Linked DNA regions of Schizosaccharomyces pombe. Changing the gene in region 1 together with any one later gene gives a genetic interaction. Each region holds a gene or a part of one and is shown in the gene's direction. Other genes may lie near its edges.

The links.
Region 2: of wdr74 (region 1) and mak5, a mutation in one rescues a mutant of the other (synthetic rescue), as found in Schizosaccharomyces pombe (one large-scale study listed by BioGRID).

The regions. Positions count from the first base shown.
Region 1 is NC_003423.3:1,535,189-1,539,117, forward strand, and holds wdr74 (ribosome biogenesis protein wdr74), read left to right. Parts: upstream 1-1,634; 5' UTR 1,635-1,710; coding exon 1,711-1,750; exon of another isoform or gene 1,751-1,799; coding exon 1,800-1,918; exon of another isoform or gene 1,919-1,994; intron 1,995-2,078; coding exon 2,079-2,618; intron 2,619-2,679; coding exon 2,680-2,777; intron 2,778-2,899; coding exon 2,900-3,266; 3' UTR 3,267-3,379; downstream 3,380-3,929. Other genes in the region: DNA replication factor C complex subunit Rfc5, read right to left, coding at 1-276, 419-611, 673-867; SPOM_SPBC83.16C (uncharacterized protein), read right to left, coding at 3,613-3,929. UniProt on the Schizosaccharomyces pombe protein: Involved in the biogenesis of the 60S ribosomal subunit.
Region 2 is NC_003423.3:2,698,230-2,702,158, reverse strand, and holds the start of mak5 (ATP-dependent RNA helicase Mak5), read left to right. Parts: upstream 1-1,762; 5' UTR 1,763-1,799; coding exon 1,800-1,955; exon of another isoform or gene 1,956-1,991; coding exon 1,992-2,847; intron 2,848-2,898; coding exon 2,899-3,187; exon of another isoform or gene 3,188-3,224; coding exon 3,225-3,870; 3' UTR 3,871-3,929. Other genes in the region: mrpl39 (mitochondrial ribosomal protein subunit bL33m), read left to right, coding at 910-932, 984-1,085, 1,144-1,186. UniProt on the Schizosaccharomyces pombe protein: ATP-binding RNA helicase involved in the biogenesis of 60S ribosomal subunits and is required for the normal formation of 25S and 5.8S rRNAs.

The DNA.
Region 1 (3,929 bases):
GATTCCGATCACAATTATTCGCTATATTATTAAGCAGAGAATCCGGAGCTTCAAGGCCTTGGGCTGTCAAGATTTTAGACATTACCAGGATAATTTCCTCTGGCGTAGGGGCTGCAACACGAACCATTAACGTACGAGATCGAATAGGCTCAATAATTTTCGACGTAGAATTGGCAATTAAGATCAGACGAATGTTATTGGAATATTTTTCCATGGTACGACGAAGAGCCGCTTGAGCGTCTCTAGTTAATTCGTCAGCCACATTGATTACAACGACTAAGGAGCATGTTAGTACGAGCGCAGATAAAAATAAGGAAAAGAATTGAAAGTTCACCAACCAGAATATAACATGAGACACCTAGGAACAAAAAAGAGCACAAAAATTCCATATTGATTTCACTTTACAGTGAAGACATACCTTTAAATATCTTTTTAGCTTGTAAGTCAACTTGTGCAGATTGAGCCACATCTTTTAAAAGCTCCTGCATAATGACTCGGTCGTAATTTCCGACATCGCTGGGCGTAATTTCCAAATGATGAAGACTTGATACAATATTGATCTGTAATTTTTTACTACTAGGAGTCAAGAAAGTTCTTTGATCGATTTTCAACTACATTCATTGTGAGCATGTATATTTAATTAAATGAAAGTCAGACTATGAAGAAACATACCTTCTCTGAGCCAGGTCCATACAATTCTCGTAATATAGCAACCACCCGAGTTTTTTTTCCTGCTCCGCTGGGCCCATACACTAACAAATGGGGAAACTCATTAGTAGACGACAAGGAAATAAGACGTTCTGAGAGTTGTTTGTGATAGTCCAAAGATGCAAGCGTCTTTGGACGGTATTGATCTAACCAAAGCATTTATTCCAAGATTTAAAGGTTGGAACTCGGTTTTTGGTAAAACCCTTCAGTAACGCAAAGGACAAGTGGATGTACTTAATGGAGAAATACAACGTGCATGTCAGTGTATTACACCAAATTGTTAGATGATAAAACTTTTAACTTCTAAACAAACCGAACTGTTTTTCCCATTAAAATAAGCTCTTCAAGATACCTTCCGTTCTCGCTAGTTTACACATATTATGGAAGTTACTGAACATTGTATTTGAGTGGGAAGTATTTTACAACACTTGGTAATTTTATTGTTTATTCAATTCTATTTCGTAGAGCGCTCTAACTTCATTATCGATAAACATTTGAAGCTGTTACATAGTTCAAACTTCTTCTCGTATACTTACTGACCAAACTATGTTTTTCCACCTTGCTTTATTCCTATAAAAAAAATAACTGTTTAAGAAATTATTTAAATCCCATTCATTGATAAGGCAACTTGACACGCTAACGTTGTAAACTTTCAATTAAATGAATCAGCTGCAAAACTCAGTTTCCTTTGACGAGCACTTATTCTATAGAAAATGATATATTACAATTCTTCTTATATTCAAGTACATGTGAGCGATTAGTCCGTTTACAACCTTTTTTTATCGATAAGCTAAATTATCCATTCAATAAATGACATTTCCTAAATTAAATTGACAATTCATTCTTTTTTTTATTTTACCTTGTAAGGTTTTTTAAAATGGTTTTAAAATTTGCCCTTTAAAAGGACACGTTCCTACCTTCGTGGTGAAAGTTTTTCTCATTACCCATTTCAACAACCAAATCGATTCTTGCGATATACGACAAAAGTTGTAGTATTTCAAGATGAAATTGCTTCTTGGTGATGAAATCGGGCAATTAAAATGTAAGAAATCCACTCACAAGTTCGTCGGTACTAATAAAGGTGATTATAGTCATAGAAATAAAAAAAGGTACTGACACCTCAAACCCCGAGTCAGAAGCACCAGTTATTCAGAAATTTGGAGAGTTAGATCGAGAAAAAGGAGTGCTTTTTATGTTGAAGCATGAAATGGTACGGAATTTTTGAGATTTCTGTGATAACGCATTATGAACTAAAAAGAAGCAACTTTATTGACGCTTGTTTCTTCGTTACTATTATCAAATGGATTGCGCGTTACTAGGATATCCTGTGTTTATATTTCGAAAAACACTGATTAACTTGTTAATTTTAGAATGTATTTGTCGCTCGGAAAAATGGTACTATTGAATGTTGGAACGTTAACCAAGAACCACCTATTTTGTCTAGTCTTTGGCAATTGGACAGCTCTTTATTAGAGACTGCTTCCATAGTTTCCATGAAATACTCTAATGGTTGGCTAATGCTTGCTTTAAGTGATGGAAATTTGTTGTTTAGACACATTGAATCTTCGAAGCTTCGAAAACTTCAATTACATGGCCCCCTGTCCGCTGTTGAGTTACATCCAAGAATACCAGGAATAATCGCTGCTGGAGGAAAAGAAAACGATGTTTGTTTGTATTCTTGCAATCCTACGTGCAAATCGAACATTGATGAACTAGAACTTTGGCGAACAGAAAACGTGGTAAAAGTTTTCCAGGGAAAAAATGTAAAAAATGACTCCCTGAATCTTAGAGTGCGCGTGTGGATCACTGGAATTGTGTTCACGGAAGATATTATTAATGTTATTGACGGAAAGTCCGAAGACGATGAAAGTCTGTGCTTCCATTTTGCTACGATTACTCATTATGGTCAGGTAAGCAGTTGATAATATTTTGATTATTCACAGTATTGAACCTTTATTTAACAACAAATAGTTACGCTTTTATGATACGAAACACGGCCGCCGCCCGGTTTCCACATTTGATGTCTCTACTTCACCATTAAGTCATGTTGGTTTGCTTCCTTCAATCAAGTATGTTTTATCGATTTTTTGCAAATCAAAGGCATTATGGTAATAAATAAATTGAATATTTCCAAAGCCATTTAAAGATTTTTTTCTCTTTTCTTTCTAGCACTCATATTGACCAAATTTAGGTTACTTTACTTTGCTGATAAGCGTGCTCAAATCTCAATTTTTGACCATTCAAAGAAAAAAGTCATCGGAAGATTTCAAGGAGTAAAGGGTGCCCCTTCTTCAATTCATTGCCTTGGTAATGTAGTTGCTATTACTGGTTTAGATAGAAACGTCAGGATTTTTGATGCTGATAGAAAACCGCTAGCAAATGCATATATTAAAGCTCTTCCTACCAGTATTATTGTTATTAATGAAAGAGATGCCGAAATAATTAAGAAAGAAGAGGAATTAGAAGCGGCAAAAGAAGAAGAGGAAGAGATTTGGCGAAACATGGAACAGTTAGAAGATACAGAAGATAAAAAGCCTTCGAAGAGGATAAAACTTTGAAGAAATACTGGTCTTGTTGGGTAAAACTATGGATATATATATTGGTAAAGTTTTGTGTTAGATATGGGATCTTAATAAATACTGTTATGGATTACATTATATACAGATTACTTAATTCCAGTCGTATTGTAAATTATATATTGAAAATTGGATTAATGGCAAAAGCTGCAGACGAGAAGCACAAATAAGTTGAAAGATTAAGAACAACAGCTTGTAATTGCAGTCATAATTCGTCTATTTAAAAACATTAAAATATAGTAACTAATTTGATGCATTCATTTTTCGAGAGAAGATTTTTGAAGAAAACAAGTGTTTGAAACCAATTTGTTACGCAAGGAACGAGAACTCATGACATTGATTGAAGACATTTTCGAACAACATGCCTTGCAAGTTGCACACGAATAATCAATCTACTTTCAAATTCGTTGTCTCCACCAAAATCACGAGCTTTTCTCAGATAAGCATCACAATGCTTCAATCCTTCTTTTTTAGAACCATTGCTCTCAAAAAACGCTACCGCCATTTCATAATGAGCAAAAGCAACAGCCCATGTCTCGGTTGTACGAGTAACAGCGCATATTTTTTGAAGGATAGGGAAAACTTCGTCTGTGCGACCCAAGTTACGTAAAACAGTAGCTTTAATCAACGCCTGACAAATATCGT
Region 2 (3,929 bases), 1.2 Mb from region 1:
AGAACCACCTCGTCATAAATGTTTCTTTACTAGGCTCGCTAATTTCCATCTGTGTTTTTTTTTCACGCTAGCAAACTATGCTATTGCAATTAGTTCATTCTTAACGTCCTAATTCATCTAGTACATGTCATTTTAACTAAAAGAATTTTTCCTGAAAGAAAATTGGTTCTTTCATTTGAATATCATTCTTTCCAAAAAAAATGTAGAAATACAAATAAGATTATAAATTGGCAAAGACGCGATTGGACTTTAATTAAATACCCATCTACAGCCAATAATTAAAAAACAATAATAATTGTAATAAAAAAAAAGAATTTTTCAAGAGTTGTTCATCACTTCATATTTTTTCTTCGAATGTTAATAGAACAGCAACTTCTATTTATAAGATTACTTATAGTTTGTTAATTATTCCTCTCTGTTAAATTGGCAGACATCAGGAGAAGAGACGCAGCAGACTCAATTTGTTATACTTTCCTTATTAACATTTTTTTATTTTTTATTTTATTTTATTTTTATTCAAAAATTCTTTCTAATTTTTTTATTCTTACTGTTCGTCTTTCGTTCTTAAGTGCCGTCATGCATGTTTCTCAATTAGAATTTCAAATCTAAATGCTTTTTTTCAAAACAAGTAATTCATTGATGAGCCTTTTATCTTTACTAATAGTTCTATAGTCTACCTAAAACAAAAAAATAACCTATTGAAAAGCCTCGATTGTACACAACCAAATTTAATAAAAATTGGATTGCAAAAAGGCTTTCTCATTACTCAAAACAATATCTTTGAATTGCAAACTTTCAATTTTACATTTCTGACTGCAAGTTATCCATCAAGTTAAAAGAGCTCGCCCACAAACCCTGGTGTAACTACAAAACCTTTAACTTACCGCTTGCACTGTACGTATATCCAGAATGGCTAAAAAGAATAAAGCTCGGTAAGACATACATGCTTAATTTAATGCGCATTTTTAACATTTATTTTTCAGTTTGCTTGTAAAATTATTGTCCACCGCTGGCACTGGATTTTTCTACGTTCGTTCACGTCCAAAAGCTGCTCCTAAGCTTGCTTTTATAAAATATGATCCCAAGTAAGTTATTATGGATTTTCTAAAGCCTCATTTAAGAAGCTAATGAATGAACCCATAGAATTCACAAAAGAGTACTTTTCGAAGAATCCAAAATGAAATAAAAACTTCTTCCATTTCAATGATAGTCTGAAAATGAAATGCTAAATTATGACCGATCAATCTACCTTTTTTCTTCAAAAACTTTATGGATGTGCATTAATTATGTATTAGCTTCCCAACCTACATCTTATACGACATAATTCTAAACAGCTGCGTGAACATAAAGACCCTTATATTATTCTGTCATATCTATAATTCCTATTTTTATTATTATTATTTAAGAGAAGGACTGAGATGTCAAATTTTCAAAGTAATAAGAATGTTCCTTTCACCTGTACCAATTGCTAGCCGAATTAGAACTATAGTAGTAACATCGTTTGTGTTTACTACTCTTGTAAGCACTGTAGCTCAGATCATTCGATTCTAAAATTCTCAAGCAATATTTTTAATACAAAATGGTTGTACTATTTAGAAATTATGCAAAACATGGCAAAGCATTGAATTGCTAAAACCAATCGTCGTTTAATGTCTTCGTAACATTTAATTATTTGTTTTCTATTAGCTTATACGATGCAATTATTTTTATTCCCTCGTTCCAATTCTTAGTGTAAATTTTTGTCTACCTACATTTTCTATGTGGAGCAAACTACTACACTTTTCAACGCTTTGATCACGATGCCAAAGAAAGCTGCATTGGACGAGCTTAAATGGAAGGAAGTCAAGCTTCCTGACCACCTAGACGACTTCGATGGGTTTATGGGCTTGGAAGAGATTGAAGGTGTGGATATCAAATATCAGCCAAAAGGTGCTATGAAAGAAGTAATTTATGAGGTATAATTGTTTATTATCTAATTTATTAACAAACAGTTACCAGAAGTTCATGAAAAAAAAGATAAAAAGCCGGAAAAGCGAAAAAAAGATCAAAAAGAAGCTAGTGAAAAAAAGAAAAAGGGAAAACGTACTTCCCCTACTATTGAAATGACTTCACTAGGATCAAAGGTGACTTCTAAAAACTATAATGAATTCTCTACATTAGAAGAAGAGGATGAACACAATTCTCATGGTGTGGACGTCTCTGCTTGGGCACACTTTTCACTTTCACCGGAAATGCTTGGCTCGTTATCTAAAGCTGGCTTTTCAAAACCGATGCCAATTCAATCATTGGTAATTCCTGAAGCTTCTATTGGATTTGATATCATTGGAAAGGCAGATACCGGTTCAGGAAAAACTTTAGCTTTTGGCATTCCCATTTTAGAGCATTGTCTTCGCAATGTAGATGCAAAATACGTACAGGCTCTAGTTGTTGCTCCTACCAGAGAACTTGCTCATCAAATTTGCCAACACTTTGAACTTATCAAGCCAAGTCCTAACATTCGTGTTATGTCTATAACCGGTGGATTAGCAGTACAGAAGCAGCAGAGGCTTCTTAACAAGCACCCTCACGTTGTGGTTGCAACTCCGGGTCGCTTGTGGTCTGTCATCAACGAGAACAACCTTACAGGAAACTTTAAGAAAATCAAGTGTTTGGTATTAGATGAAGCAGATCGTTTACTGCAAAAAAGTCATTTTGAAGAATTGAGCAAACTACTTGAAATTTTAGGAAATCCCATGCATACTCAGCGTCAGACTTTTATCTTTTCTGCAACTTTCGATGAGGGTTTACAGCAACGCCTTAAAAAGAATATGAAAGGCAATATAACTGAGAAATACAACAGCCCGATGGGTATGTTCAATTAGAAATATTTTACTTTCTCACTTACTAACGACTGCATAGAAAATATGTTGAAGGAGGTTCGTTTCTTTGGCAAACCCAAATTTTTGGATGCCAATCCTCAAAGTGCAGTGGCAAGCCGCGTATTAGAAGGGCTCATAGAGTGTGCTCCAGCTGAAAAAGACTTGTATCTTTATTATTTGATCATGCGTTATCCTGGAAAAACCATGGTTTTTGCCAATGGTATTGAGGATATTAAGAGAATCACTCCTTTTCTAAATGAGTTAAAAGTTCCATCCTATCCTCTACATGCTCAATTAGATCAGAAAAAAAGACTTCAATCTCTTGAAAAGTAAGTTATTTTTATTTATATGTTACTAACTAACAAGGTTCAAAAATAATCCTAAAGGAGTCCTTGTTTGCACTGATGTGGCCGCCCGTGGTATTGATATTCCTAGTGTTACGCACGTAATTCATTATCATGTTCCTCATACAGCTGATATGTATGTTCATAGAAGCGGTCGTACCGCTCGCGCTAACGAAGATGGCGTTTCAATTTTAATGTGTGGTCCTAAAGAACTGTCACAGCTGAAACGACTATGTTATCGGTTGAAAAAGAAAATCGAGACCTTTATTAATTTTCCTGTGGATATGTCAATATTGGACATTTTAAAAACGAGGGTCGTCTTAGCACATAAAATTGTAAATCTCACTAGAAAAGACGGAAGAGTGGGACGTGAGGAAGCTTGGTTAAAATCGATGGCTCAGGAATTGGGAGTTGAAAGTTCTGATGATGAGGATCCGGATTTGCCAAAAAAATCTGAATCTAGTAAGAATAAGAAACAGATAGCGCATCTTCGCTCAGAGCTTGCTCCCTTATTACACGAAAAAATAAGAACAGGATTTTCTGGTAGATACTTGACGAGCGGTCTTGTAAATATGGCTGAAAAATTAGCCAACGAAGAAGTTCATGATAATATTATCGGAATGGACTCAATTAGTGCTTTGGAAGTTCTGCAAAAAAGGAAGAAGTAAAAAAGGGTTTTTACTTAGCTACTTTTCATATAGCACGGGTTTTCATTTAGGTTTTTATA